Linked DNA regions of Oreochromis niloticus. The protein of the gene in region 3 binds, or shares a complex with, the protein of the main gene of each other region. Links are inferred from orthologs where the notes say so. Each region holds a gene or a part of one and is shown on either strand. Other genes may lie near its edges. The genes, in order: armc7, snrpd1, cwc27 and srrm1.

Region 1 (6,840 bases), on a different chromosome or scaffold from region 3:
GAAATAACATGTTATTAGTTAAGTCTATACTTGGTTTAGTATACAAGACAATGGTTAAGAGGGACAATAGCATTTCAAGTAGCAAAGATTGAGTTTTATGGATTTCTGGATGTATCCTCCAAAAGGATTGAAAGAATATGTGAAGAGTGCAGTAATGTCAGGCTTTTGATTTAAAGCTTAAGATGTAATGTACGTGCATTTCAGGTTGAGTGTTTAGAATACAAAGTTAGAGAGATGAGGCTAAAGTTGGTTTGGACGTGTGCAGAAGAAGGAGAGTGGATATATTGGACGAAGGAAGCCTGAGCTGCCAGGCAGGAGGGAAAAAAAAACCTGGGAGAAGATTTGTGGATGTAGTGAAGGATGAGATGCAGAGGATTGGTGTGACAAAGGACGATGTTCGGATAGGTTTAGATGGAGGCACATGACCCCCAGAGGGAGAAGAAGAGAAGAAGAAGAATTTCCTGATCTTACTGACCACTGAGAGGGCTTCAGACTCGAAGTCAAATTTAACCACACGCTTTCATTTTAATCCAAATTTACTTAAATAGCACAAAATCACAACAATAGTCACCTCAAGACGTAATATTGTAAGACCCTACAGTAATACAGAGAAAACCCTAACAATCAAACAGCTGCCTCTGACCAAACACTTGGCGACAGCAAGAAGAAAGACCTCCCATTTAAGAGAAAGAAACCTGAAGAAACCAGGCTCACAGAGGGCAGCCATCATGTCACTGCTGTTTTGGTATTTTAAGGTATCTTGTTGATGCCTTAAATACCTCATAAACTGGGAGTACACTTTTCATAATGAAAGGTTTACTCACAGTTAATGAGATAATAACTTTATTAATTCCAAAAAATCAGCATCATTTTTGTCAAGTGAATCCATTACCTCTTACGAGTGGACATCCAATATGTTTTTATTTTTTTTGGAACAACATATCGAATTTTGGCTCCCTTGGGTGAATCATCTGTGACGCTCTCACAGAGAGCACACTTATAAAAAAAATAAAGGTCTGTGCTTTGTCTTTAGTCTTTGGGCAGCGGGATGCCGACTGCCATCTGCTGCCCCTCCATCTGCTGCTGCGCCTGCGCCACCTGCTCCTCGCTGCAGGAGTCCTGCAGAAACACGGTAGCCAGGTTGCGTAGACGAGGGCTCTCGGAGAGGGAGAAGCGCAGCATGCACTGCAGGATGGCGGGATCGGTGATCTGAGAGCGTGACACAGGTGTCAGGAGGTTCATGAGGGTGGTGATGGCTGACAGGACCGTCTCTTCCCTCCGGCTCGACAAGCAGTTTGTGACTAAGCGGATGCCGTCGCTCTGCAGGATGACATCTCTGCACTCAGGGTCCATGCTGAGGTTACAGAGCCCCCCTGAGATCACGAGAGACAAAATCAGAGATAAAGGCTTGACAGTTGCTGCAGACAATGAACGAGATGTCAATGTGACACTCACCCATCCCAAATTCCACAAAGTTCTCATTCTCCTCAGTCAGCATGTCCAAGAAGAGGTCAGTCACCTGCAGCTCCCTCAGATACTCCACGTTCTTTGGATCATATGCAAAATTGGCCAAATTAGCCAGAACTTGTTCCTTCGCCTCTGAGGAGGAAAAACAAAGCTTTTAATCACATAAAATGAGAACTATGGAGTGCCAAAATTAAATAGACAAATATTTAATTAAAAGTCTAATTAATTCATTAAAATATTAGTTCATTTCAAATTATCTGTGGCAGGTCAACAGACCTTAAAATCTGATTGGTTACCCTGCACAGCAAGTTAAGAAGATTGATCCCAGATAATGCTGCAGTCCATGCCCGGATTGCCTGCGCACAGCTAATGTGCTACACGCGCTGAATTAATAATTCATTTTCTGAAGCTGAACGGCTGGACTCCTTAGCGTACTTGCAACTGAGAAACACCCACTGAAAGAATCGACTCCGGAAAGGTAAAGATACTGACCAGATCAGCATTAGCCCCGCCCCCTGACTTTGATAGGTGAGGTTGACATTCATTCATAAATTCATGATGTGTTTTAGCCCAGAACTATGAAATAATAACAACTGAAATATATTTTAAATAAAACTAATTATTTCAATTTAATAAATGTGTATTTAATAAATTCAAATTTTAAATAATTATTTGATGATGTACGTCTCCCAAGAGGAGCACCTAGGCTTTCTGTAGGTACCTCTTGTTAATGTTTTTGTTCTATTTACTTTATTTTATGATTCATATTATTGTCTTGTGGATCTTATGCTGGAGCAGAAAGACGAAAAGGCAAGATTGGAAAAAAGATAACAGAAGAAAGCAGAGTAGTGAGTTTAAAGGTGAATCCAAACACAGCTGCTCCCACCGTCGCTGTCGGTGTCCTGAAACTCGGTGACCAGAGTTTGTAAATACTCAAAGCGGTCAGAGCCTCCGGACGAGCCGCTCCTCCACATCATCTACCACCAGCTCCGCTCTCCGCTTTAGCTAAAAAATGAATAAATAAAATAAAACGAGATTTTTTTCGAGGAAATGATTTAAGATTATTCTTCTCAGTTCGTTCCCGGCTCGGTCTGACCATGAATTGCTCCGTGTAGCTGCGTGGATGAGACAAAGGTTCCGTTTAAACGATTTTTGTTTTAAAATCAGTTTCGATCTGCTAACATACGGTCAAGCCGCACTTACATAGAATCAAATCTGATTTACATTTTTCACACGCAGTTAAAGGTCGTCTATCATAGTTTTTTGTTAATGTGGCAATACTACCCCCTCATACAACATGACACAAAATAGAAAAACTGTCAAGCGGAAGCTAGTGTCACGTGGTACCGGAAGTTGCTAAAAACTGTGGGACACGAAGGGGGCGTGTACAGCACCTCAGCTAACTGTAGGGGAAGGTCAGTGTTTAAAGTGCAAAATTAAGCCACGAAAATGAAGCAGCACAAATTATCCGCCGGGAAACGGCTCGCCAAACCGATCCTGTTCGGGACGATCATCGTTGGACTCGCTGCTGCTTTCATTAACAGGTAACGTTAAAGCGTGTTTACAGCTCAGCCACCTGTACGTAACAGACATGATGTACGTGACATGTGCACATGCAAGTGTTTACTGCACACCTAATAAATATGCAGCTCCGAAAGAGCCGATCAGAAGTGAAGATTATAAAAGCAGCACGACTTTGCTGTTAAAAGGTGCTACAGGGGAAGTAGTACGACTGCGTATTAGGCCCAGCATTCTGCAGCCCTTTAGGAGTTAAAGAGAAAAAGGTCAGAATTTTAGAAATTCGGCAGACTTACTAGAAAAATTGATAATTTACAAAAAAAAAATAAATCTAATTTTTGATGAAAGAAATGGGCAAATTTACAGAGAGAAAGCATTCAAAGTTAGTAGGGAAAAAATGCCAAATTAACGAAAAAATAAATAGCTAGTTTATTGTTTTAAAATGGCAAACGTATCAGAAAAAAAATAGCAAATTTACGAGAAATAATGGCACAATAATGAAAAACAACGGACAAACTTATTAGAAAAATTGTCAAATTTATAAGGCAATAATATGCTAACTTTGTTAAAAAAAAACGGAGCACATTTCCGAGAAAATAAATTGCATATACTGTATATATGTATATATACAAAAGACATACTTGTGGCAAATTTCTAAGGAAACAATGAGCAAAGTTCAGAGGCATTAAATTACAAAATCAAAAAAAAAGCAAGCTTATTTGAAAGATATAGGACATTTCAAAGAAATTAGCAAAGGACAAATTTATGAGAAAAAACATGCAAACCTATGAGAAAAAAATCATTAAGTTCCCAAGAAAAAATGAGCAAAGTTCCAAGACGATAAATACCCAAAAAAAAAAGAAAAAAAGACACATTCCCAAGGAAAAAAAAAAGAAAGAATAAATTTCAGAGAATCTGGCGGAGAATTTGCGAGTGAGGAAACTCAGTATGTGGTGATGTCCATGAGCTCCCTGACTGACATAAAACTGTCTAGTTCCCAGCTATGAAGATTTGCTTCAAGGTTATTACAAGGTCTCGTTAAGTAACATTCAATTAAGAAATGCCGACAGTGCCACGAGTAAGGTGTAAGAGGACAGAGAGCTGCTCTGTTCCCTGTGCAGGAGCGTTATAAAATCAGTTTATGTGATACATTTCATTATGATTTTGTATATTTGGTGTATTTTGAATGTGGATTTATTTTGTGGTTGTTGTGTATTGCTGTTTGTTGTTTTTGTATTGCTGTTTGTGCATGATTTCTGGAGAGCCTGTCTGTAAACCAGGTTTAACGGCAGGAACAATAAAATGACTGAACTGTGAACAGCTGTCTGTGTTGGCCCTGCAGCAGACTGATAACCTGCTCTGTAACAGCTGAGATGGGCTCTAACCTCCTGCCTGGCTGTATCTAAAATGCCTTTAATAATATTTAAATCATGTTAAAGGTATTGAATTTGCAGATGTTGTTTTTAAGACCTCTAGAAAAGCCCTATCAATACAATTAACTTTTAGTCCCACTAACTCGTTCATGCCGTTAGTGCACAAGCGATTTTACAGCACAGTGGAGAAGCTCTTCAGATTGAACAGCTGTGTTTTGTGTGACCAAAAGTCCAAAGAGAAATCTTTACTGTTCAGTGCTTTGTTGTATGGACTGGACATTTTGACACAGCTGGTTGTTTCTTTTTAATTGACATCCCTAAAAGCTTTGAAGGAGCCCTGAAATAACCTCATTATTAAAACTTAGTGGAGAAAGAGCTTCAGTAACGACAGCAAGCAGACTTCTGCGATGACTGTGATTAGATTTCTTGTGGTTGAAAACGTGTTTAATCCTCACTGTTGTCTTTAGAATCACATCAGGTGAACCCAGGAAAGGTGATCTGATGTGTTTAAGTACTTTTTGTGCTTTTATTCACATCACTGGATGAATCCTGATGATTCCGCTGATTCTTTGGTCAAAATTCAACAAAAGAGAAAGAAAAGATGAGTATTTAGTTACACTGGACAACAGCTTCTTTTTTTATTGTTAGAAAAATGGAAACAGAGTAGGTTTCCAAAAACACTCTGAAGACTACTTGAAACTAAACTGAGAGAAACTGAATATACAAAACATTTTTTTTGGTAAAGCTATAGTTTTATATTTTTCCATGAAAGTAAAATCAAAATCTGTTTTCTCACACTGAACCACCCACGTCACTTTAGAAGAAAGGTTGTAATCTTACCATTTTTTTCTGGTTCTCTAATGAATTCTCATAATTCTCATTTGTTTTCATTCGATACTTCCTCTGTTGCGCAGACACAGGTTTTTCGAGGACGTCGTTGAACTCAGGGCTCAGGAGCGAGCGCGCAACGACACCAAGAGGTTGGAGGTCCTGGAGAGGCGGCAGAAGCAGATCGACGAGCTGACCGAGAAGAAGCAGCAAGGAGGGAGCGGCTGAAGGCGGCAGCAGCCTGAACCTCAGTGCCTCTGCAGCAGACTGTGATACAGAGCAGGTCTCCACAGGTGGACGCTGCACATGTCCACATGTGCAAAGATGGCTTTGCTGAATATTTTTACTGAGGCCTGCTTACAGTAATGGATTTATTGAAGTAACCCTCACAGATTTGTATAGACATCTGGGCTGGACACAACACTGTCCAAGATGCCCAGTAAAGGAGCTTGACCAGCATCTTCCTTTACTTACTTGTTTTTCCAGCAGGGGGCAGAGTTGACTGCAACCTAATGGACTGTATGAATGAAACTCTCTTCAATTATTAATTATTTGTGCTATACATTATTAAAGATCATTTATTTAAAATGCACACTGTGGAGGTTTTCATTTGTATTTCATTGGTGTGACTTTATTGTAGTCAGGATTAAAAGTCAAAGCACAGACGCTAATCCCGTTCAACAAACATCAGCTCTGCCTTCAGTTTTTGCTCAGTGAAGCAGGAAAATCAAACTCCTTGGTGTTGGGATGTATTCAGTCTGATGGCTGTAACACGACTAAAATCCCTTATACTTGTATTTTCAGTAATAACTGACGCTGAACTGTCAAAATAAAGGTTTTAAATTCACTGTCAGTGTGACATGAAATAATTATTCACTCAAATATAAGATCTGTAACTTATAACTAAACATTGTAGATAGAGAGAAAAGGCCATTTGGAGCTAGTCCAGCATTCTACTGTAAAGAAGTACAAAATTTTAAATTCTCAAAGGATTTAGAAATTGTGCTTACATGAGAAAATGTACTTGTTTGCTTTTCTCCACTCTAAAATAAAGAAAGCTACTCTTAGTTTTTCTGTTATTTACAAGGGATCAACACAGCAGGTAGCGCCGCATGTTTGATTTGACAGACTTTTTTTATGCCAGGCGCAACCCGCCAAGGGATTTGTCTCCTCCCAGGATCCAGCTGGGTATCTTTCGCTTGTGTACATCAGCAGTTATGATAGTTAACAATAGAAAATAACAGATGCAGTATAACCATAGACTGTAAATACAAAACATGGATGTAGCTTGTGGGTCTGCCTGTGCAGAAATCCCTTAATCTTGCCTTCTTCCTGTTAACCAGCAGGGGGCATCTCCTCTGAAGGAGGCCGGCTGCATAGTGGTGATGTGCATACCACTGATTTCCTTTCTGATCAGACACCAAGTCAAATTCAGGGTGGTATCGACGATACTGATCCGATACTTTGTACAAAAACGTAATGTGTTATTGTATTTCAAATTATAGCTTCATAATGATTACAGAACATCAGACTACTTGTTCTTATTCTTTAATTATGAAGAATTATCATATAGAAGTAAAAAAAACCTGAATTTGTGTGTTAATTGATGCTATTTGAACAGGTATCGTGTCATTTAACATGTTCTTGCCTGGAC
Region 2 (7,597 bases), on a different chromosome or scaffold from region 3:
TTCAGTTGGTCTGACAAGCAGATAAAGAAAATGCAGTTTTAAATCTTTCAGCTATTCCCAGCTCCTTTAATATTTTACATAGCAACCTAAAATGTCAGCACTGAATGCAAACATATTTGCCAACAGTCCAGTAACTGTAAGGCATCAATCTGTTAGTGTTTTACTGCGGACGACTTGAATCACAATGGAAGAAGGGTGACCAGATGCCCACTTTCTGTGGGTCTGCACTGCATTTTGTGTCAGTCGTTCTCACGTCCCTCATCACTGTACATCATACAAGCACTTGTCTAAAGTCTGTCTTTTATCCAATGGCTGTGAAGGAAGAAGGGAAGACTGTCATCACTGACACGGTTTAGACAAATGCTGAAATTAAGGTTTATAGGTGGTGTGTTGTTATTACGTGGATAGCTCATCTACCTACAAGCAAGCGTCTCTTGTCAGATGGCGCACGTGTCAAAGGAGGTTGTCTGTGGGCCACATGTGCTGTTGATCAACCAGCCAACCGTGGAGAAGGGCGAAGTTATGACATAAACAGCTGAAGTGTTTAAAAACTAGGGAAAGTATAATCTGCGGCCACAGTCTGTACTTTGTGCTTTTTTCTGTATTGTAGTGGATGACTGTATGACACTAATGCTCCAATACAAGCCGCTTTAAAGCTCGCATCGGTGCGAGGAAAAACAACAACACCAAACACTTGATCAGTGACATCTGCTTCGGTGTGGACCTGACTGAAATCACATGACTGGTCCAAACAAGTTTATACTGCTATGCAACGAGAGATGCTTCGTAACCCCTCATCAGAACCATGTGAATGTGTTTTCGAAAGCTGTAAAGTTGTCAATAGCAAAAGAAGCCAGGTCAGTCTAACAATGGTGGAAAAAAATATCGTTTCTCAATAAAAATCTTCAAATCCCCTGTACATAAGCACACCTTACCATCCCAGCACATCCTGGGCTTCCCAAAGCACGCCTCCTTCCAACTATTACATAAGTTTACAGAATCAACTGACCGCCTTTGCAAAATTGTATTTATATCATTCAAACAAACCCTTGTTACAATCAGCACATGATTATCGACACATTGTTTTGCTGACTCCTACTCCACCACTAGATGTCACTGAAACAAAGCTGTGAATGAATGAACCCATTTTCAATGCAACTGATGAATTGGCTCAGTACTGGTTCTATGCTTCATTTGCACATCATTTCTTTGTTGTGTTTCTAACATTCCTGGTGAACACCGCTGTTACTTCCTTCCCACAAACACAGCATCATCTATGTTGACTACTGTGCAGTTTGGATTATGGAGGGCTGCACTGGAGCACATTTAACAGTGGAGAGTAATGACATGAAGTCACGCAGTACACAGAATTAGCAAAGCTAACAGTTTTATCTGATTTAGAGTTCTGTGGGAAATCTTTCTAGGTCCTATAACATTTATGCTGTGTGTGGTGCAGTATGTGCTAATTACAGTGCGGTCATATCCCAGCATTTCATAAGCAGTGCCAGCTGATAGAAACAAATAAAATATCTTAGGTTACAACTCTTTGTTGAGGTTAGATCTGTTTTCCCCCCCCACTTCCTCCTTTGTATATCCCCCGTCTTCCATTTCGATAATTTCTGCAAACTCCTTCCAGGAATTCAGTGACATCTATAAATCCTTATACTGATGCTATGATTGCTATTCTTTTATTAAGAAATTGAAAACAGCAGCGAAGAAGTACAATGCACAGGAGGACTTAATAGTGCTTTCCCACTGAAGTATTATTGGGACATGTAAGGGAATACACAAGCATAAGAAGACTATGGAACAAACCTCACTTTTTGTGATGCTCACTGTATTTACCAAAAGAGGGAGCTGGGAAAGTTACATTCAGCTAAAACCAGTTTATTGATCTTTAAAATGATTAATCGCAAACCTGGGACCTGCATACTTTGCTTATATTTAAGTGAGACACATGTATGTATGTATATATATATATATATATATATATATATATATATATATATATATATATATATATAAAAACATTTCCCAGTATTTCCACAGGACTCTAGCTTTAGGTAGAATTGGGTGTTGGCTTGAAAATGAGCCCTACAGGCCACCGTTACATTAAAATTACTTTGAAACAACTGAACTACAGCAGTGTTAGTGGACTGAATTAGCTTAGTGTAGCTAATAAACTGCAGCACAACTAATAAAAGCGTTAAGGCACCTCCAGCTGAGTCCTACCTGTGATGGTGCCGTGGACCTGGGTGCCGTTCTTCAGCTCGATGGTAACCGTCTCATGGCTGAGCTTCATCAAAAACCTGTGGGCATCGTGGAAGAAGACGAACATCTATGTTTGAGTTCAGCCTGGAAATGAACCACAAACTAGCCTCAAGCTAGCTACTAGCTGCATAGCTTTCAGCTGCAAAACAAAACCACCCCAGGAGTGAGATGACCTTATGAAAACCCGCTGAAACCCTCCAGATTTAACCGCCATAACTAAAACAAATACTGAACTAGCTTTGTGCTCCTGCTACTAAACATTTAGGTTACGTTCATTTCGTTCGCTGAGTAGCAGGTTAACCAAGGCCGGGCCTGCGAGTCTGCTAACGTCCACGAACCAAAGTATGTTTAAAAATCGTCGATGCATAGAGCTAATTTCAACTACCGAGCGTCAGGGTTAATACTGCAGGTGTATTTTAACTACGAGTGTGAGCATTGTAACTCCGGACAGCCTCCATTCATTCGGCCCGATGCTTCCCGCTCATATCTTATCCTCCTCTTCTCCGCTTTCCATCTAAACCCATCCAGCCGCAGCACCCTCACTCCATCATCCCACGTTCACCTGTTCGTTAAATGGCGCATTCCAGACTCTGCTTACCTGACTAGTTTCATGATGGTGATGGACTGTAGAGACAAATCCTCCACCAAAGAGAAAAATTACAGCGAGCGGGTGAAAACACACACAGGCCGCTGTGGTAACAATTACGTTTGACTCGCGCACTTACGACGTCATTAAAGGAGCGACGGCGACGAAGAAGAAGACACGCTGCACGACAACACTGCCGCCTACCGATGGAAGAATAAACAGCGTTTTGAACATATGCCCCGAATCTAACAAATCTTTGGATTTATTGAACTTTACAGAAGCAAATATTTAATAGAAGAAATGCGTATATATATATTTTTTATTATAATATATGTTGTCAAAGTGTCAACATAAATGTAGTAAACTGTAACAACAGTAAAAACTTACTGTGTGTAAACTAAATAACAAATAATCCAAAAACGCTACAATACAGTGCAAACGTCTTGAGATACCCTTATTTCTTTCTACTTTGCTAGGAAAATAGATCTTCTTCACAGACATCCTTCCAGTGAAAAAGATTTCTGATGAGACTGACAAGTAGGTGTATGAACTGAAGAGCCAGATGCATCCCTGAGGTGTAAATAAAAACTGAAAGACCTTCAGAAAGCCTCAAGAACAGAGATCGAGAAGTTTGGCTGCTTAAAAGCAAAATATAAAGAAAGCAAAGGGCGACTCAAGTCTTTTGCACAGTGCTGTGTCTTGTTTAAGTCTTTGGCAGTTTGGTCGTACTTAGTGAGGCTGAGATGCCGCATTGGATTTGTGCTGTAATAGCTGAATATCTAAAAATTTTCCTCCTGACAGATTACAGAAATAAATCGTGAAACTAATCAAACTAAGCATTTTACACAATGAAAACAAATTAAAATAAGGAAAGCCTTCCCGAACCCAAAATCAATTAAAAAAAAGTAATAAAAACAAATGAAAAATCTAACACTTCTGCTCTCCTGAGGTGCAGCTGTGTTAGTTTTTCAAATAAATGCAGTCTAAACCTAAAGATAATGGGTTTACTTATCATTTCCATGTACATGCTAAGAGCTGTTGCGGATTTGACAGCAACATGAAGTGAAATAATGTCAGTCTACCTTGTACATTATGATAAATAGGAGACTAATCAGGGAACATGTTCCCTTTTCTTGCTGATGGAAGTTCAGAAATCAAAGCACTAAAACAAAAAAATAAAAATGTCACTGCAGTGCACTTTCAGTTCTTTTTATTGAGAGTAAACTTTGCACTGACACTTTCATTTTTAGTTTTGGCCACACATCAAACCCTTTCTTTTGACCAGCTGGGAATGTATCAAGTATAATCTGTGAGAGTGCAATTTCAATCTCTTAAACTCTGAAGATGTCAGATGAGGGAGCACTAAATCATAAACACTAATGCAACTGCTTGTGTGACGCCATCGACGGCACACATACAAAAAAGGGAATATTTAACCGCTGTCCCTCTGCAGCCCGACCACACATCCGACACTCGCCAGCATGTTTCTGCGAAACAAAGACGCAGTGCGTGCCCAAACACTGACGTGAATCCCTCTTTCCTCAGGGAGTGGAGCCTGAAATGTCACAGCTGCCCTCACATCTCAGCGGGCTTCGTGCAATGCTATGAGCCAGCCACCTTCACAGTTCTCACTTTATCACTTCAGGTTTCAGAAAATGCTTAAAAATCAGTTTTAAGTGAGTCAGTTTGAGTTTTACAAAGGGTGTCTTTGTATTTGTCTGGCATACCATCAAAGGACATTTAAAATCCTCACATTTATTCTCATTTCACTCCCCAGAGCACCAAATCAGTCCTCATCACAGCAGGCAGTGTTTAGTTCCCTTGTAAACATTGTATTTGGGCAATAAAGTTTAAAGATTTGAGGCTTGATGACATCCCGGCAGTTACATCTCAGAGGCGGTGTCAAATCAAAGGTCAACATTCACATAAAGTGTTTTTTAATCATCGTGGAAAAGCAGCGGATTCCTTCAGAGAGGCTCAAAGAGGTTTTTCATTCAGGGCTGAAAATGTGGGCGCTGCGACTCACCCGGGGGGGGGGGATAAAACAAAATCAGTGTATTAAAGTGTTTTCATCATCATCTTTCATTATGAAGCATGTTTAAAAAGCAATGACACTAATAAATAGCAACAGATAAATACAATCAGAACAAAACAAAACAAAGAAAAAGGCACACAGATCCAACAACTCTGGTCTCAACAGGAAGAAACATCTTGTCTATAATTAAAGGAATAAAAAGAATCAAATACAGTAGAAACCCAAACCCACGTCCCGTCAATTAGAGCACACTGCAGGGCGCTATAGGTAGTGGAAAAGATATGATAAAAAGTTACATAAAACCATAAAATGTGCTCACATTTACAGTATTTGTTATGCCTGCTTTGGCTCAGAAACCGCACGACTCAAAGAACCGACTCACACGAGCACCAAACAATAAACAGATTCATGAATCAGTGCAGCAGCGTTTTAACAATATATTCTCATTTATTTATTTTACAGTCGTATAAAAACTGTTTACAGCAGCTTCTGTGAAGACAAAACTTGTGAAAGTGGCTGAAATCTCACTTTTTATGAAAAATCAGCTTTTTTAAATGTGCTGCAGTGTAAAGTCAAACTTTAAAACACATTGTGCATAATCCAAAGTGATAAAGCATATTTTAGTTTACCGTCTGCTAACTGTTTACTCTTTTAATTGGTTAAACATTTAATAATTTTAATTGGACGACTTGTGTGAAGCACTTTAAACCTGTTGACTGTATTTTATTTATCAGGTTTAATAAAGTAAAGGATCATTCTGAAGTCAGTCTTCAGCTTAAAATGCCAAATTATTTCCTCCGTGATATTTGTAGTTTTTTAAAATCAAAGCAACTATGAATGATCTGAGGAGGTTAAATACTGGATATCATTATTCTCAGATTAATTTGATTGGTTGATGCATTACCTCATTTAATACCCACTGTATTTTGTCTGCTACGTGAGATCTGGTGCACAAGTACTGAGCCAAAGTGGCAGAAAAACACTGTAAATCTCTGCAGATTAAACATGAAGATGCATCTTTGATACAAAACATTTGAAATGTGCAGCGAGTGGCAAAAAAACAAAACAAGACAACCCCCCCCCCCCCCAAAAAAAGCCCAAACAGAACAAAAAACAGAGAACTCAATCCACTCTGCAAACAAGCACCCACTGAACTTCCAGCTTTATGGGCGCTGCTCTGCAGCTGGGACTGACCTCTGACCTTCACGTGCAGAGAGGTGCTGTAATAGTGTGACGTTTACGCAGCAGACTGTGCCAGCCTGCTGAAAAGTAAGATCAGGACTGTATTGGCACTAACACAAACAGGCACAGTGTGCATGAAGGTCCAGAAATCAGAATTAGGCCCTCTGATTGTACAGCACGCTATAAACAGGCTCCAAAGTTACAGTTATCTTCATATATTTGGCTCTTGGAGCTCTGAACTGGCTTGTGGTTGGGTTAGTGTGAGAATCAAGTGTAGTTAAATGAGGCAAGTTTGGATTTCAGCATGAACAGCACCAAAACTTCACCCTGAACAAACTTAGGAGACAAACAGAAGAGGTGGGGAATTAAATTAAAATAAGAAAAAAACTAAACTAAACTAAAACATGGAGCATTTTGTTGTGTTATGATATCAGTAGCTCTCCGTTCATGGTTTAAACACTTCAAAGAATAATTTGTCTGTTTTTAGAGCAGACAAAAAGCACTTAAAAATAATCAAAACGTGTATGACATCATCTTTACTGGACAGAGTCCACAGGTCTTTAAGTCCTCTCTAAATACAGTATAATACATACAGTAAACACTCCACCCCCCAAACACAGGCACCACCATCACACATCTTCCATCATCCATCAGTGCTTCTCTCTGATTGGTTTTCTTTCTCTTTATCTCGGCTCTACCTTCTCTTTCTCTCTATATCTGTCACTTTCACACTAGGTGTTCCTGCTCCGTCCACTCTTCAGGTGACCGGTCCTCCTCTAACTGAAGGACGAGGTCTGAGTCTCTCTCCATTGCCGGGGCAGTGTGTGCGGGACTGTTTCCATGTTGGGAGTGTGAGTGCGGGTGTGTGTGCGCTTCGTCCAGCGACAGGTCAGCCACACACCCTGCGTCCACACCCTCTTCTCCAGCGTCTCTTTTTTCCAGCTCCAGAGTGCTCGGCCTCGACGTCTTCACGCCCTCGGCTCCCGGTGGGCCGGTCGCCAACCCTCTGCCTACTTCCGACTCGCCCTCCAGGGGCTGCCGGATGGGGGCGGAGGTCTGGCTCTCAGTCTCGGTGTGTGTGTCAGGAGAGGAGTCCGTCTCTGTGGTGGGCGGGGAGGGGATGAGAGCCAGGCTCTGCGGGTTATTCTGGGGGTTTATGTTGTTGTTAAACCAGGCCATGATGTTATCCAGCAGCTGAGCGCTGGCTGTGGGGTCCAAGGGCTCCAGGCTCTGAGGGTCACTGGGGGTGAAAGGGCCCCCTTGGGGAATCACTGGTGAGAGCAGCAGCTCTGGCTCAAGCTCTGGAGATGGGAGGCACAACTGGGTAGGGGCTGGGGCTCTGATTTAGGGGGCGTTCGAGGGCGTAGGCAGCAGGGCGCTCTGCGGTGTAAGAGCTGCTGTGTTCAGGGCAGGGGTTGTAGGAGCTGTCTGGTTTAGGGTTGCTGTTGTACGTGGCTGCATGTTCCCGGTTATAGGAACTAGGATGTGCGGGGTTTGGAGTGGAGAGGCAGGAGGCGGCGTGC
Region 3 (6,912 bases):
AAGATCTGGGATAACAGCACATACACCAATCAGGCATTATAGCCAACTGCCTAATATTTTGTTGGTCCCTCTGTGTTGGCCCCTGACTTCACAAGACTCCTGAAGGTGTGCTATGGTATCTGGCACAAAGATGCAAGCAACAGATCCTTTAAGTAGAATTTGGATGCCAAGTCAACACTTAAAAAATCATTGTTGCGCCTGTTGTCCTCAAACCATTGCTGAAAAATGAAAGAGGCCTGATGGTAGGTACAGGTAAATGATGCACATCCACATAATTCATCAGACCAGGCCACCTTCTTCCACTGCTCTGTAGTTCAATACTGATGCTTGGTACTTTCTGTGGTGGACAGGGGTCAGCATGGGCATGCTAACTGGACTGTGCCTATGCATACACAACAATGTAATGTACTGTGTATTCTGATTCTATCAGAAACAGCAATACATTTTTGGCAGTTTGAGCTACAGTATCTAGATTGTTGGATTGAAACACGGGCCAAATGTCCCTCCCCAGGCGCCTCAACGAGCCTTGGCCGCCAATGACACTGACCACTGCATATCTTTCCTGCTTATAACATCAATTGGGGGAAAAAGTTAATTTTCTGTCTAACATATCTCACCTACTAACATGTGCCATGATGAAGAGATAATCAGTGTGACCACCAGTGACCAGTATGAGAAGCATAAACAGCAGCTACAGTGGACACTTTCATTGTTTTTAAACACTCGATTTCACTTCAGAATAACTTTGTGGTCTATGACCTCTGTAGTCTTCTGGTAGGTGCTAAGCTAAAGGAGCAACAACACCGGGGGTAGCTAAAAAAGTTGGCATATAGAATGGGTTGCCTTAAAGGTTTAACCTGTTTTACATAGATGATGAAGTATAGACCAAGGCTCAGTATAAGACTCAGTATAAGACAAATGAGTACTGTGAATCATACAAAGCTACTCTAGTAAAGTACAAGAAAATATCTATATATAGATAAGGAAATGAGCATAATATATTCCCTTATGTACAAAAATGCAGGTGCTCCTGGGTACAGTCTTGATCTTGTTTCAATCAGAAAGACAGATGAAGGCCGAGCACTCACTTTGTGGCTTTTGACTGTGATTTCTTCGTCTCTTCTTTATCCTTTTCCTTTTTGAGTTTCTTTATTTCACGAGGTATGATGTCATCAAACGGAGAATGTAACACCTAGGAGAGACAAAAAGAAAAGCTTAAATTACAGAAGCTAGATACTAAACATATTGCTGAGCAGGTAAAATAGAATGAACTAAAATACCTCAGCAGATTTGATCTTGTGAGGATTCAGAGGTCTTTCCTCACCATCACACTCAACTTCTGCTAATCTGAGCATATTATACACGGTGTCTCCAGTGACCTGGAGTGGGGATTGCAGAAAATAGAAATGGTCAGGCACACTCTTATCACATCCTGCCTGGGGAAAATGGCACTCATCTTGGTATATTCATATATTCATTGAAGACAGCATTCATTCATGAATACAGATAGAAAATAAGTCATCATGTTCTTACAGCTTTACCTTGCCAAATATGGTATGTTTATTGTTGAGTTCATCTGCACGTCCCAAGGTGAGAAAAAACTGACTGCCATTGTCATGTGGCCCTGCATTTGCCATGGCAACCAAACCCCTCCGATTGAAGCGCAACCTAGAGTGAAACTCATCCTGAAAGGCGACAGAAAGTTTAGAAGACATTGTATTTTAGTGTCACCTGCACATAGGAATTAGAAATCCACTTCAGAATTAAAAATAAAATGAGAAGAAAAGCATTCTCACCTTGAACGGTCGGCCATAGATGGACTCTCCACCTGCCCCTGTCCCAGTAGGATCTCCCCCCTGAACGATGAAATCAGGCACCACTCTGTGGAACACTGTACCATCATAATAACCTAGAAGATCAAGACATACTGTATACTAAAAAACAATAAGGCAACAACAGTTCCCTACTAACAATCAAGAAATCTGAGCCAACAAGGACATTTAAATAAAGACAGTGCTCAGCTGAATATAGGTTCTGGGATTTAAAAAAAAGTCTTATGTACACTGACAGCAGCCATTTCTCTGCTTACAAGTGAACAAAAAAAAAAAAAAACGACTGCTAACATTTAAGAAATATATAAGTAACTATGTCTAAGACTCAAAATTTCTTCACATTTTAGTCCATCAATAATCTTCAAAATAAGATAAAAAATATAACACTTACACGCATCATGGCCTAATACTTAAAGAGGCTAGTTTTACCAAACCAATATATTTTAAGGGCACGCCTGGAATAATTCGGCCTAATTTAGCGCAAACTGAATTTGAGGTTATTCTCCAGTGGTTTCTGCACTTCCTTAGTGAATTCTTACCTTCCATGCACAGCTGCACGAAGTTCCTGCATGCTTTAGGAGCCTCCTTGGACCACAACTCAATGTCAATATCACCTGCTGTTGTCTTTAACAGGACCTGCGAAAAGACCACGAAATTATACATTCAGAGCTAAACAGTGTTAGGAGTGGCTAGCTATTGGTACCTACAAATCCGCAATATTATGCACGAAAAACCTAAAGTTCAAATTGTAAACTGGCGCTTACCTTCCCATTTGTTGGTGGCTCTTGAATGTAAATGTTGCTCATCCTGCCGCTACGTTTCTGTGTTTTGTTAGCAGAATAAAAAATATATTCTCACACGATCTGAACTTTAGGTTCCTCGAATATACAGATAGTAAAGTTTGTTACAGTAGGTAACTTTAAATGTGATACATTTCACATTTCACTCTTTACAGCCATATTGGCAATACATGAGTTGATTGTTTACTTCCGAGAACATAGGGGTTTCGGTTTAATTATTGATTTTCTGTTCCGTTTTTTTCAAAGAACATCACTTAATTTGTTTTTTTTTCTGTTTTCATAAAATACATAAAAAACTTTTATTCGCACGTGAATCAAACTCCGAGAGTTTTGATGACAAAACAATCCAAAACAAGCTCGGTACTTCACCCCGAGAAACAGATTTTTGGATCGCTCCTAGTGCGCTATCACAACTGCCCCCTGGAAACAACAAGTTCCGTGTAATTACAGCGTAATCTCATTAATCCTAATAATTATGTGTTCTTGAGAAAAAGTGAGACACATAACATGTTGTTTATAATTAATAATTGTAGAATTTTAGCAACTTGTACTTGAAACAAAAACAACTACACAAAAAATCTGAGATTTAGGCGCTGAACGGAAGTACCGTATTTACGGAAGGACCACACGGGCGATCACGGCAATGGCGGCTACTGAAAAGAATGTGGAACTGAAGCGCAAAGTAGATGATGATCATGATGGGGATGGGGACGAAGAAGATGCCGAGTGGGTTGGACCCATGCCAAGCGAAGCCACAAAGGCAAAGAAAAGAAAAGGTGGGATTCTGGGTGTTCATTCGGCACACTGGCAGCTTTTTGCGACTGCTCTCTAATCACTGCTAATAAAGCGCCAAACGCCGTCCGTTAACTTCTGTGTGTATTTGTTTCTCTCAGTACTCGAGTACGAGCGTGTCTATCTGGACAACCTCCCGTCGGCTGCAATGTATGAACGGAGCTATATGCACAGGGACGTCATCACACACTTAGTTTGTACAAAGTAAGTCAGCAGCTACAAGGAAACTTTCCTTTATATGTGTGAGAAAGCTTTTCCACTTTACAGCACTACTCACTTACATCCAGCTTATTAAACCACCTTAATAAAAGCGATCCAATGTTAAAATGCCTAAACTATCAATTATTAGTATTACCAGTATACCTCATATTCCAGGACTGTCTTTGTGCTGATCCATTGTTAGCATTCATGTTTGTCCCAAAGTAATATGTAAAAAAAAAAGTCAACCTAAAATGGTGACGTTTATGATACCATCACCTGGGAAATCTAAACGAAGCAACAGAATTTAGTAGTTCTTTTATTTAAGAGTGGGCAGCCGTTTTAATAATTATTATTGATGTATTTTCTATCATTCCTGTGACAAGTCATGCCAATTTCCTGCAGCTTACTGTTTATAGAGGAACCTTGCAGGCTGTATTACATGTTATTAGTTGGTTGTGTTTGTTCATTGTTTGTTTGAAAAGCCACTGAGTGCTGTATCTGTAATAACAATGAAGTTCCATCAGCTCATATAAGCTGTGTTGTTTGCTGTTGACCTGTGAGCGTGTAAGAGGACATTTTATCATCAGCAATGGCTAACATTTATCTGTTGGGTCTCATCACTTTTAGCCTGAAAGTGTATTATTGTATTATTATCTGTTTCCCTGGCATAAATTGAATGACAAAACCCCCCAAAACAAAACAGGCAAACAAAGAAAAACTTTGATGCATCCATATTCGCAATCCTGATTTTTAAAATTTTCTCTTTACTTCAAATAAAGATTGTCTAACTCCATCAGTAGATGGGATGTGGATAGGAAAAGTAGGCTGAAGCTGAAATAACGCCATAACATTGTGCTGTTTCAGGACAGACTTCATCATCACTGCCAGCCAGGATGGCCATGTCAAATTTTGGAAGAAGAAGGAGGACGAGGGGATAGAGTTTGTCAAACACTTTCGAAGTCATCTCGGTATGAACTTAATTCGTGATAACTTCTTTTTAACAATCGGAGTGGCACTGGACTGAGAGGGGGTTATGGAGACCCGGTGCATTGTATGTTATAATATAACGTGTCTTTAATGAGTGAAAAGGATGTGTATAAACACTGTTCTTGCTTTTTGCCCAGGTGTAATAGAAAGCATTGCGGTCAGTGCGGAAGGGGCCCTTTTCTGTTCGGTTGGTGATGATCAGGCCATGAAAGTATTTGACGTGGTCAATTTTGACATGATCAATATGCTGAAGTTGGGGTGAGTCTAAATGAAAATTTTCTTGCTAGACACAATAATGTTTTTACTGCTGATAGATTTGGAGTGCAAGTTCTCCTTTAATTTGATTGGTTTCTCTACTGTGATCTGTCTGTATGTAGCTTTCATCCAGGCCAGTCTGAGTGGATCTATAATCCTGGAGATGCCATCTGCACAGTAGCCTGCTCAGAAAAGTCCACAGGGAAGATCTTCATCTATGATGGCAGGGGAGGCAATGACCCCTTCCATGTCTTTGACAAAATGCACTCCGCACCGCTTTCCCAAATCCGCCTGAATCCCAAGTTTCGAGTCATTGTGTCTGCTGACAAAGCGGGAATGCTGGAGTACTGGACGGGCCTTCCAAATGAATTCAAGTTCCCCAAACATGTGGATTGGGAATACAAAACGGACACTGACTTGTATGAATTTGCAAAACACAAAACCTATCCCACCAGCCTTGCCTTTTCCCCCGATGGGAAGAAGATGGCCACCATCGCTTCTGATAGGAAAGTCAGAATCTTCCGATTCCTAACAGGAAAACTAATGCGAGTGTTTGATGAATCATTAACGGTAACCTGCCATTCACCTTTCAGCCTGGATCATTGCTAGCGTTATGAATTTTGCACGCTAATCACAGCTGCTATATGTGTGTTAGATGTTCACAGAGCTGCAGCAGATGAGACAGCAGCTTCCTGACATGGAGTTTGGGAGGCGGATGGCTGTGGAGAGAGAACTGGAGAAGGTGGATGGTATCCGGTTGACAAACATCATCTTTGATGAGACTGGCCACTTTGTTCTGTATGGGACCATGCTGGGCATCAAGGTCATCAATGTGGAAACCAACAGGTATGCTCACAAATGAAGGTGGAGACTAAATCACAGTTGTGTTTCGTAATAAAATAATGTTTAAGAGATGTAAATGAGTATTTTAATTGTAGTATACAAACTGATGAAATCAAAAGTGATAACGTCACCACTTCACATGCAGAGTTATATAGACATATAACTCCCGAGCCCTGTGTTTCTTGTTTTCTAGATGTGTGCGGATCCTTGGGAAGCTAGAGAACATCCGTGTGGTTCAGCTGAGTTTGTTCCAGGGTGTTGCAAAGGCCATGCAAGTGGCACCCACTGTGGAGATGAAAGCTTCTGACAACCCTGCCTTACAGAACGTAGAGCCTGACCCAACCATCTTCTGTAGTGCTTTTAAGAAGAACCGCTTTTACTTGGTGAGACAGAAAGGCATTCATTTCAAAGTGACAGTGCTACATTTTTTTCCCTTCTTACTATAAGTTTTTTGTCGTCTCTTTTTGAAGTTTTCGAAGAGAGAACCAGAGGATACCAAGAGCGCCGATTCGGACAGAGACATCTTTAACGAGAAGCCCTCAAAGGAAGAGGTGATGGCCGCCACGCAGGCCGAGGGCCCCAAGAGAGTGTCTGACAGTGCCATCATCCACACCACTATGGGAGACATCCACATCAAGCTTTTCCCTGTGGAGTAAGTCCTCAGTGTGAATGCTTTTGGCTCCTCCTTTCATTTTAGAAGACAGAAACAGAACTTTTCCTCTCTTTGATTTTAGATGCCCCAAAACTGTGGAGAACTTCTGCGTCCACAGCAGGAATGGATACTACAATGGCCACATATTTCACAGAGTGATCAAGGTACGTTGTCCTTTTTCTTTATGAAGCTTGGCGATCAACTGTGTGATTCCGGCTCTGAGTGTTTGTCTCTTTGTCGTTGACAGGGCTTCATGATTCAGACTGGAGACCCCACAGGAACAGGCATGGGAGGAGAGAGCATCTGGGGAGGGGAGTTTGAAGACGAGTTCCACGCCACGCTGAGACACGACCGCCCATACACACTTAGCATGGCAAACGCAGGCCCCGGCACCAATGGCTCACAGTTTTTTGTCACCGTGGTACCCACTGTAAGTAGCCCAACTAAAACCACTTTCAGACCTGTATTTTATCATTGTGTGAATAAGATTTCAATTTACTTTTCTGAAAAAGTACGACAGCTACATGTAAGATGGTGACATTACCATTTC
Region 4 (7,433 bases), on a different chromosome or scaffold from region 3:
GAAACAAACAGTTAGGGAAGAGAAGCAGCACCATTTGCAGTGTACAGTAAGTTTCAGTTTATAAGCACCTGAACAGATACAGGATCTCTTTCATACCATTTGTTTTCTTCTCTCATCTTAACAGTTTATTTCAACCCTGCGCTGCCCGATCACACTGTTTTATACACAGCTGCTTTAATTCCATCTGATATTTGCGATTCTGTTTTGTCGCCACATTTAGTAAGTCGTTTTTAACCATTTTATTTTGCTTTGCTATAAATATATTATTATGCAACATGGCTTTTCCTGGCTCAGAATGGGCACAAAATGCAATCAGAGCACAAAGCGACTGTGTTATTTGACAAAAACCTGTCCATTTCACTCTGATGTCTGACGACTAAATAGATTACACACAAATCCCACAATACAAAACACAGTGATTCATCTATGGCAAGGATTTAAATACATTTAAAAAAAAGCTTTACCATCCTTATAAGATCTGACTTACATGGTAAAAATAAACAGCTGAGTAATTGTATTTAAAAATGACAAAAGGTCAATTTTAAAACCTTCTTTGTCAAATAAAAGATCTAAAATTCTCTCACCAGGGATGGCTTTGGGGTGAAAAATGTAGTAAAAAGCTCTGCTTTATATTTCTGTATAAATTTATATTTTACTGTATTTATTTTAATTTAACATAAGATATTAGTTTTGCAATATTACATTTACTTTATGAGATGTCTCATTCTACTCTATAAAGCTGTCCCGTTTTATGTTTGTTGTATTTGACTTAACTTTTAGCTGCTGTATCAAAGAAGTTTCCCTTTTGGGATCCAGTTTAATTTTTATCTCGTTGCACCTTAAAATTGTTTTTATCTGACTGTGACGCTGTATGTTAAGGGACGTCAATCTAAGCTACACAAGGGTCGCCACAACAGGTAGCTCTTCATGTCTGATTTGGCATGATGCAACCCCAGAGGGATTTGTATTTCCTCCGGAGAACAAACCCGGGATCTTTTGCTTGTTAAGACAAATGTGTAAACCAGTGCACCATAGGAACACTTAGTGGTCATCGATTCAAAAAAATACAAAACTTATACATGCCAGAATTTATCAAAAAAGCTCATTTTCATTTCAAGCCCCTGGGCAGGTCACATGAACCTGACGTGATATACAAATAAAAATAGACAGAAGACAAATACAAACAACGCTTAACATTAATTTATCAACTGATAACACATTTGGCTGTTTTAAGATCTGCTTTGAAAACATCATGTGTCAAGTTTTCATTATAAGTGATAACCTGTTCCAATAATCACTTCTATTCAACTATGGTGCGCTCTAGATGGCGTCCTACCCTCAACCCCACTGTCACTTCTTTGTGTCCTTTTAAGACGTTACAGTGACAAAAAAGAAGGACTTTTTAAATCAAAAACTTTTGTGGCTTTCCTTAAATGTTACTCAACTATAATAATTGTTGTCCCACCTGTTAATGACCAGGCAGTCCCCTGCAAAGGTTCAAAAATGACATTTGGGTGGAGACTAAAAATATAAACAGGTTATATATAATTAAACCAAAGTTATAGTAATGCCTAATTAACAGAAAAATGAACATTTACCTTTAATTTTTGGCTACTGGATAAAAACAAAAAACAAAACCTGACTTAAGCTCATTAATCACAGGCCTGGTGAGGTGGTGACCACTAAAATGTCTCTCACAGACACCCTCATACCTGTGGTGTATGAATGTCCAGGCTCATGTTGATACAAGTTTGTAGATAACTATTTAACATGATTTTTGAAGATTAAAATATTCTGATTTTACTAATCACTAACAGTTATTTGGAAAAAAAATGTCAAAACAAATGTCACTGCGGGTAATCATTTACCTTTTTGTCCAAACATTCTGCAAATTTCAGCTGCTTCAGCAGTTTCTTCTGCTTGTTGCTGAAGCGGTTGTCCTGCTCCGCACTCGTACCCTGCAGAAATAACAGCCAACATCAGCGGACTCGTGATGATCAGCTTTCACTGGACATGTAAAATCAGAGGAGGACAGAAACCCGTCTCGAACAGTGTTTATAGTCTCAGGCTGCACAGCCTCCTCACTATTGGGCCCATGTTAGTTACAGCAGTTTTACTTACCGATAACATTATTAACGACAGTCAAAGTTTAGGATGGAAAAACATTACGTTGCTTACGCTAACGCGTCTTAAAATAAAGACTTAAGACACGTGTGTTCCCTAGAGCGCCGCTTCATGTTCTTTTTAGCTCCTCGACCTGAGCCGCAAACGACACTGACACCAGTCGGCTAGCATTAGCCATGCTAACCACTTGCTTAATCCTCGAAAGCGAACGCACAGGCTAATAATAGGCACAGCCCGAAGGCTACTTTGACTGACAGCGGAGCTGACATTGACAGAATATTAAAAGACACATTAATGTCATTATTCAGCAAACACGGAGGACTTGCTAAGGCCAGCACAGCAGCAGTCGTGACTAGCTCATGGAGACAGGAGCGATGCACCGCCCGGGCGCCATCTTTAGTTAGCTAGCTAACTTGACTCGTCTATTTCCTGTAAATGTGTCTGTAAAATAACACGTACGGGGTTTTAACTTAGGAAGCTACACATTTTCATAAACTATAGGACAGAAAACATCAATGTAGGGAACACGCAATAACTCCCAGAATACACTAGGCGAAGCAGACTGATTGCAAATCTTGAGACTGTTGGCTCCCAGTTGATAGACGAAGCCCTGACCGCTGTTTAGCTAGCTGCATGGCTCTTCACTAAAGACACATAGGAAACATCCATCCCATAAAACGTATATAGATCTACATAAAGCTAAATAATAATATACCAAATACAAAGATAAAAGTTTGAAGAACTTACGCGGAAGAATCCCGCGTCCATTTTAGGTGAAATGGTTCGTAACTGCTGCTGTGGAGAAAGCCGTGTGCTGCTCCGCCGGTGAAATTCAGGGTGACGAGCCGGATAAATGGAGTGCCCCCACAGGAAGCAACGGGTACTGCAGCTACAGTGAGGAGGAAGAAGATTCCGCTCATCACCTGATGCACGAAATATGGCAGTCGCTAGCTTAGCTTTTGTTATTCTTGAGATTCTGCTGCTGGCTTTAAATGTGCTTCAGGCCTTCAGTGCGCCACACGAACTTCCATTATTTAGCTCATTGCTCTGCTTTGACCACATAACTGCAGCTCCAACAAACGCTGGTAAAGGTAAACATGGGGAGATATTCATCTTCATGGAATTATTTATTTCAATGTACACTGAAATAAAAGATTTTGAGGTCACTTAGGAATGTCTCTGTTTAAATTAAAAAACAAACAAACAAACCCATCTATGTACTTTCTTCTTGCCGCTCCTAGGGGTCACCCCAGCCTCCGTTTGCCCTCACCTCACCCTATCCCAAGCATCCTCCTCTGTTGCAACATCCTTCTTCTCTGTGGTCTTCATCTTCTCCTCCTGCCTGACAGTTCCATCTTCAACATCCTTTGTCCAATATAGCTTCTATCCCTCCTCTGCACATGTCCAAACCATTCATTCATTCATTTTCATTCATTTATTTCATCTCACCTTCCTTGCTAACCTGTGTTGTTCCTCTCGTGTACTCAGTTTTACTCATACCTCTTCTCTGTTCTCACCACAGATCACAATGTCATCTGCAAAAATCACAGTCCATTTTGCATTAAGTGATTTTGGCAAAGCAGTCAGTGACTGGAATGTGCCTCAATATGCAGAGACAGCTTGCACAGATATGAATAAGACCCAAACCTTGGTTTAAACTGGTTTGCTCAAATGTTGTTGATTTTAAAAAGTATTTTGTTTTTATCCATTGTCCAGTTAGGAGCTTGTTGAACCTGAACCTCACCAACCGCCATTCACCAGTAAGAATAAATGCTCAGATAAACAAATGAGAAAAACAAAAAAAAAATTGTGATGTATAATAATGATGCAAAATTTTGCTTCTGAAGAGATTTCTTTGGGAAACCTTAATAATAAAATTAAAGAGCTTCCCATGAAGCTCCGGGGGGAGGGAGCCCCCGTCCCAATTCCAGCCAGAAAACAAATTCCACATTCATAACAAGAGATGGGGGCACTGAAAATCAAATTTGGACCATATTTGTCAAGAAATGAATCAGTTGGACGGAAGTCCAGACGCTTTTCTTTGCAAACTCCTTTGACTACGATGACCTGGATGACTGAGAATCTTCACAGACAAATCAGTTGGACATTATATTTGGAGCCCTGTTCTATAACCATTTCCTTTAGTTCTTTACAGAATAAATTCAACAGATTGCTGGAAACATTCTGCAGAAATTTTGGTAAATCCCCCCGACACCATTATACCTCCACCAGAAGCTGGAATTGTTAACAAATTCCCCACGTGTGGGACTAATAAAGGTTATCTTATCTTATCTTATCTTATTCCAGACAGGATGGATCCATGCTTACGTGTTGTTACTACAGTTCTGACTCTATCATCCAGATGCTGCTGCAGAAACAGAGCCTTATCAACCATGCAATGTTTTTCCGGTCTTATTTTGTCCAAATTTGCTGAGCTTGTGTGACTTGTAGCCTCAGTTTCCTGTTTTTAGCTCACCCAGTAGGACTCAGTGTCGTCTTCTGCTGTTATAGCCCATCTGCTACAAGCGTTGATGTGTTGTGTAGTCAGAGATGCTTGTCTGCAGACCTTGGTTATAACATGTTTTTTTTTATTTTGCCTTCCTGTTCGCTAGATTTTCACCAGAGCGGCCACTCACTTGGTATTTTCTCTTTTTTAAACCTCTGCAAATCTTACAAATGGCTGTGTTGGAAAATCTCAAAAGATCAGGAACTTAAATACTCAGACTAGCCAGTCTGAAAATAATAATTTAAGGTGTCTTAAATCATGTTTCTTCCCCAGTCAGATGCTTGGTTTGAACTTCAGCAGGTTATCTGGACTCTTTCTACATGCCTTAATTGGTGTGATTGGCTAGTTAGATATTTTGAACAGGTGTACCTAACAAAGTGGCTGGTGAATACCTTAATTTTGTATATGTTACTCGAATAAATTAGAGAATGAAAGCATAGATGAGAAAACTTTAACTATTTCTTAAATAAAAGTTAAATTTTTCATTTTATAGTGTTCTTGTTTTGATGCTGATCGGGTGTTTCGGATGTAAAAACGACACAGAAAAAAAGAAACTTTGGCAGCATACGATATTCAGTGCTCTTTGGGTAAATAATATTTTTATTGTTAAAGGTCTGATTCAAAGTACACAGCATTTTTTAATATATTGTTTTCCTAAGTAAATACGGCCTCATTTGATACTGTTACTCATTCATATTTGTAATCACACCGCTGGCAAAAAAGTAAAGGCTTCCTGTTCTGTGCCACGGCAAGGGTAGTGCGGTTGTATATACTGTGAGTTTCACTTGATAGTCTATATTATAAAAGAGTGCTTTACAAAACAGCCAGGATACATGATTTTTCATTACAGTCCAAAGTCAACTGAGCCAGTCATTCCAGATGATCCTGGATTCAAAATGTCCAACAGATTTGTTGTTCTACACGTGGAACTTGTCCATATTGTATTAGATATTGTAACAGACGCTGAAACACGCTGGTGTGCCCATGCATGTGATCAACATCTGAAACTCTTTAAAGCTTAAGAAATATTTCTGTTCCACCTGAGGCAACATGCCCATGTGTAAAGTGATGCTTATACCATGAGAACAATAAAAACCACAAAGATGAAGAGAAGGTTTGACAGTATCTGATTCCCTGAAAAGACTGAAGTGTGTGTGTCTGTGTGTGTGTGTGTGTGGGTGCACATGTGTTTGACATCTCACTTTCCACTGAATATAAAGAGGTTATGACTGAGAATTTCCATTTTACAATCAGTCCCTGGCACGGTGCAGCGATGCTCCAGACAAACAGATGATACTGGTTGACAATTTGTAAAAGTGAAGTAAAACAAAGTGTGCTGTTGGTAAATGTAGACTGAGGAAAAGTTAGTGGTAGGTAGGGCATTGGTTAGTCTTGATGCAGCAGGTTTTGCTAGCTGACTGGCAAACCCTCGTTGGTCCTCTTGTCTCGGATGGAGCGGAGCATGTCCGACACCAGCTCCTCAAGCCCGAAGGCTGGCGCCCAGCCCCAGTCTCTCCTGGCATTGGTGTCATCAAATCTCACAGGCCAGCTGTCTGCTGCAAAAAACAAACAAGGACAATTTAGTTTTATATTGGTTTATTATCAGTCAAACCAGTGATTTAAAAACAAAAAGATACCATACCAATGGTCTGGCGGACAGTGTCGGGATTGTAGGTGACCTTGAGGTGAGGGAGATGCTTGCGGATTTCTTGGGCCACCTCTTCAGGGGTGAAGCTCATGGCAGCTATGTTGTAGGTGCGCAGTGACAGCTGGCACTCTGGAGCCTGCATGAACTCTACCGTGGCACGGTGGCAGTCAGAGATATGCATCATGGGAAGACGGGTGTCGGGTCGCAGGTAGCACTCATGGTGACCCGTGCTGAGAGCATCATGGAAGATCTGAACTGCGTAGTCTGTGAAGACAGAAGTCCGGAGCACTTAGTCCATGACATCCAACGGATTGGAGTACATTTGCACAACACACACAGGTAATACCTGTAGTTCCACCACCAGGAGGCGTGTTAACTGATATCACTCCAGGGTAACGCAGGCAGCGGAAGTCCAAGCCATATTTATGATGGAGATACTAAAGAAAGAGAAGCTGATTGAAAATGAAATGGAGTCACAAGCGTCTCTGTAAGCACGCGTGCAAAAAACATTTTACCTCCCCCATCAGTTCACCATGCACTTTAGACACGCCGTAGATGGTTCGAGGTCTTTGAACACAGAGGTCAGGGGCCGGGTCACGTGGAGAAGAGGGACCAAATGCCCCAATAGTGCTGGGGACAAAGAGGCGCAAACAGTTCTCTAAGGCCAAGTCCAGCACATTATGTAGGCCTGGATGGGCAGAAAAGAAGAGAGCACGAGTTCAACCCTGATTGTTCCTTAAAACCTGGTTACGTGTAAAGCATGTGCATATTCAAGCAGACCTGTGATGTTGATCTTTCGTGCCAAAGCCACATTAGCCTCACCCACAGCACTAAGCAGAGCGCTGTAGTGGACCAGCCAAGTGATGCGGTTATTTACAATAAGTTCTCGGAGGTGTTTGTAGTCCAAAACATCAGCGTATACAAACGGGCCTATAAAACAACAGTGATGCCAGAAAAAAAATAAAGTAATTAACTTTTAAAGTAATACGCATACTTGAATGAGATTTTACATACCACTGGCGTAAACATGAGGTGGAGGCTTCTTGATGTCTGACAGGATTACATTGTCCCTTCCATACTGTTTTCTAGACATTAACAAAAATATGACGACATTTAAACTTCAAACCTTTTAGCAAGTTTCAAAATCTCAGGAAT

What was found.
Region 1: cwc27 (region 3) and armc7 share a complex: the UniProt entries of both Homo sapiens proteins name them as parts of the minor spliceosome. The link is inferred for Oreochromis niloticus from reciprocal best matches to the Homo sapiens genes CWC27 and ARMC7.
Region 2: cwc27 (region 3) and snrpd1 share a complex: the UniProt entries of both Homo sapiens proteins name them as parts of the minor spliceosome. The link is inferred for Oreochromis niloticus from reciprocal best matches to the Homo sapiens genes CWC27 and SNRPD1.
Region 4: cwc27 (region 3) and srrm1 share a complex: the UniProt entries of both Homo sapiens proteins name them as parts of the minor spliceosome. The link is inferred for Oreochromis niloticus from reciprocal best matches to the Homo sapiens genes CWC27 and SRRM1.

What each region holds. Positions count from the first base shown.
Region 1 is NC_031973.2:5,032,016-5,038,855, forward strand, and holds armc7 (armadillo repeat-containing protein 7), read right to left. Parts: upstream 2,665-6,840; 5' UTR 2,445-2,664; coding exon 2,354-2,444; intron 1,600-2,353; coding exon 1,456-1,599; intron 1,374-1,455; coding exon 1,030-1,373; 3' UTR 506-1,029; downstream 1-505. UniProt on the Homo sapiens protein: As a component of the minor spliceosome, involved in the splicing of U12-type introns in pre-mRNAs.
Region 2 is NC_031985.2:21,347,939-21,355,535, reverse strand, and holds the start of snrpd1 (small nuclear ribonucleoprotein Sm D1), read right to left. Parts: upstream 3,025-7,597; 5' UTR 2,884-3,024; coding exon 2,870-2,883; intron 2,310-2,869; coding exon 2,233-2,309; intron 1-2,232. Other genes in the region: ankyrin repeat and IBR domain-containing protein 1, read right to left, coding at 7,369-7,597. UniProt on the Homo sapiens protein: Plays a role in pre-mRNA splicing as a core component of the spliceosomal U1, U2, U4 and U5 small nuclear ribonucleoproteins (snRNPs), the building blocks of the spliceosome.
Region 3 is NC_031972.2:12,013,598-12,020,509, forward strand, and holds the start of cwc27 (spliceosome-associated protein CWC27 homolog), read right to left. Parts: upstream 3,026-6,912; 5' UTR 2,639-3,025; coding exon 2,597-2,638; intron 2,469-2,596; coding exon 2,372-2,468; intron 1,910-2,371; coding exon 1,797-1,909; intron 1,686-1,796; coding exon 1,542-1,685; intron 1,380-1,541; coding exon 1,281-1,379; intron 1,193-1,280; coding exon 1,089-1,192; intron 1-1,088. Other genes in the region: ppwd1 (peptidylprolyl isomerase domain and WD repeat-containing protein 1), read left to right, coding at 3,276-3,408, 3,526-3,628, 4,490-4,593, 4,750-4,870, 4,990-5,437, 5,523-5,713, 5,904-6,093, 6,181-6,362 and 2 more. UniProt on the Homo sapiens protein: As part of the spliceosome, plays a role in pre-mRNA splicing. Probable inactive PPIase with no peptidyl-prolyl cis-trans isomerase activity. As a component of the minor spliceosome, involved in the splicing of U12-type introns in pre-mRNAs.
Region 4 is NC_031983.2:27,507,864-27,515,296, forward strand, and holds the start of srrm1 (serine/arginine repetitive matrix protein 1), read right to left. Parts: upstream 3,024-7,433; 5' UTR 2,893-3,023; coding exon 2,872-2,892; intron 1,959-2,871; coding exon 1,869-1,958; intron 1-1,868. Other genes in the region: tdh2 (L-threonine dehydrogenase 2), read right to left, coding at 6,041-6,186, 6,273-6,542, 6,625-6,715, 6,794-6,966, 7,059-7,208, 7,293-7,363. UniProt on the Homo sapiens protein: Part of pre- and post-splicing multiprotein mRNP complexes. As a component of the minor spliceosome, involved in the splicing of U12-type introns in pre-mRNAs. Involved in numerous pre-mRNA processing events.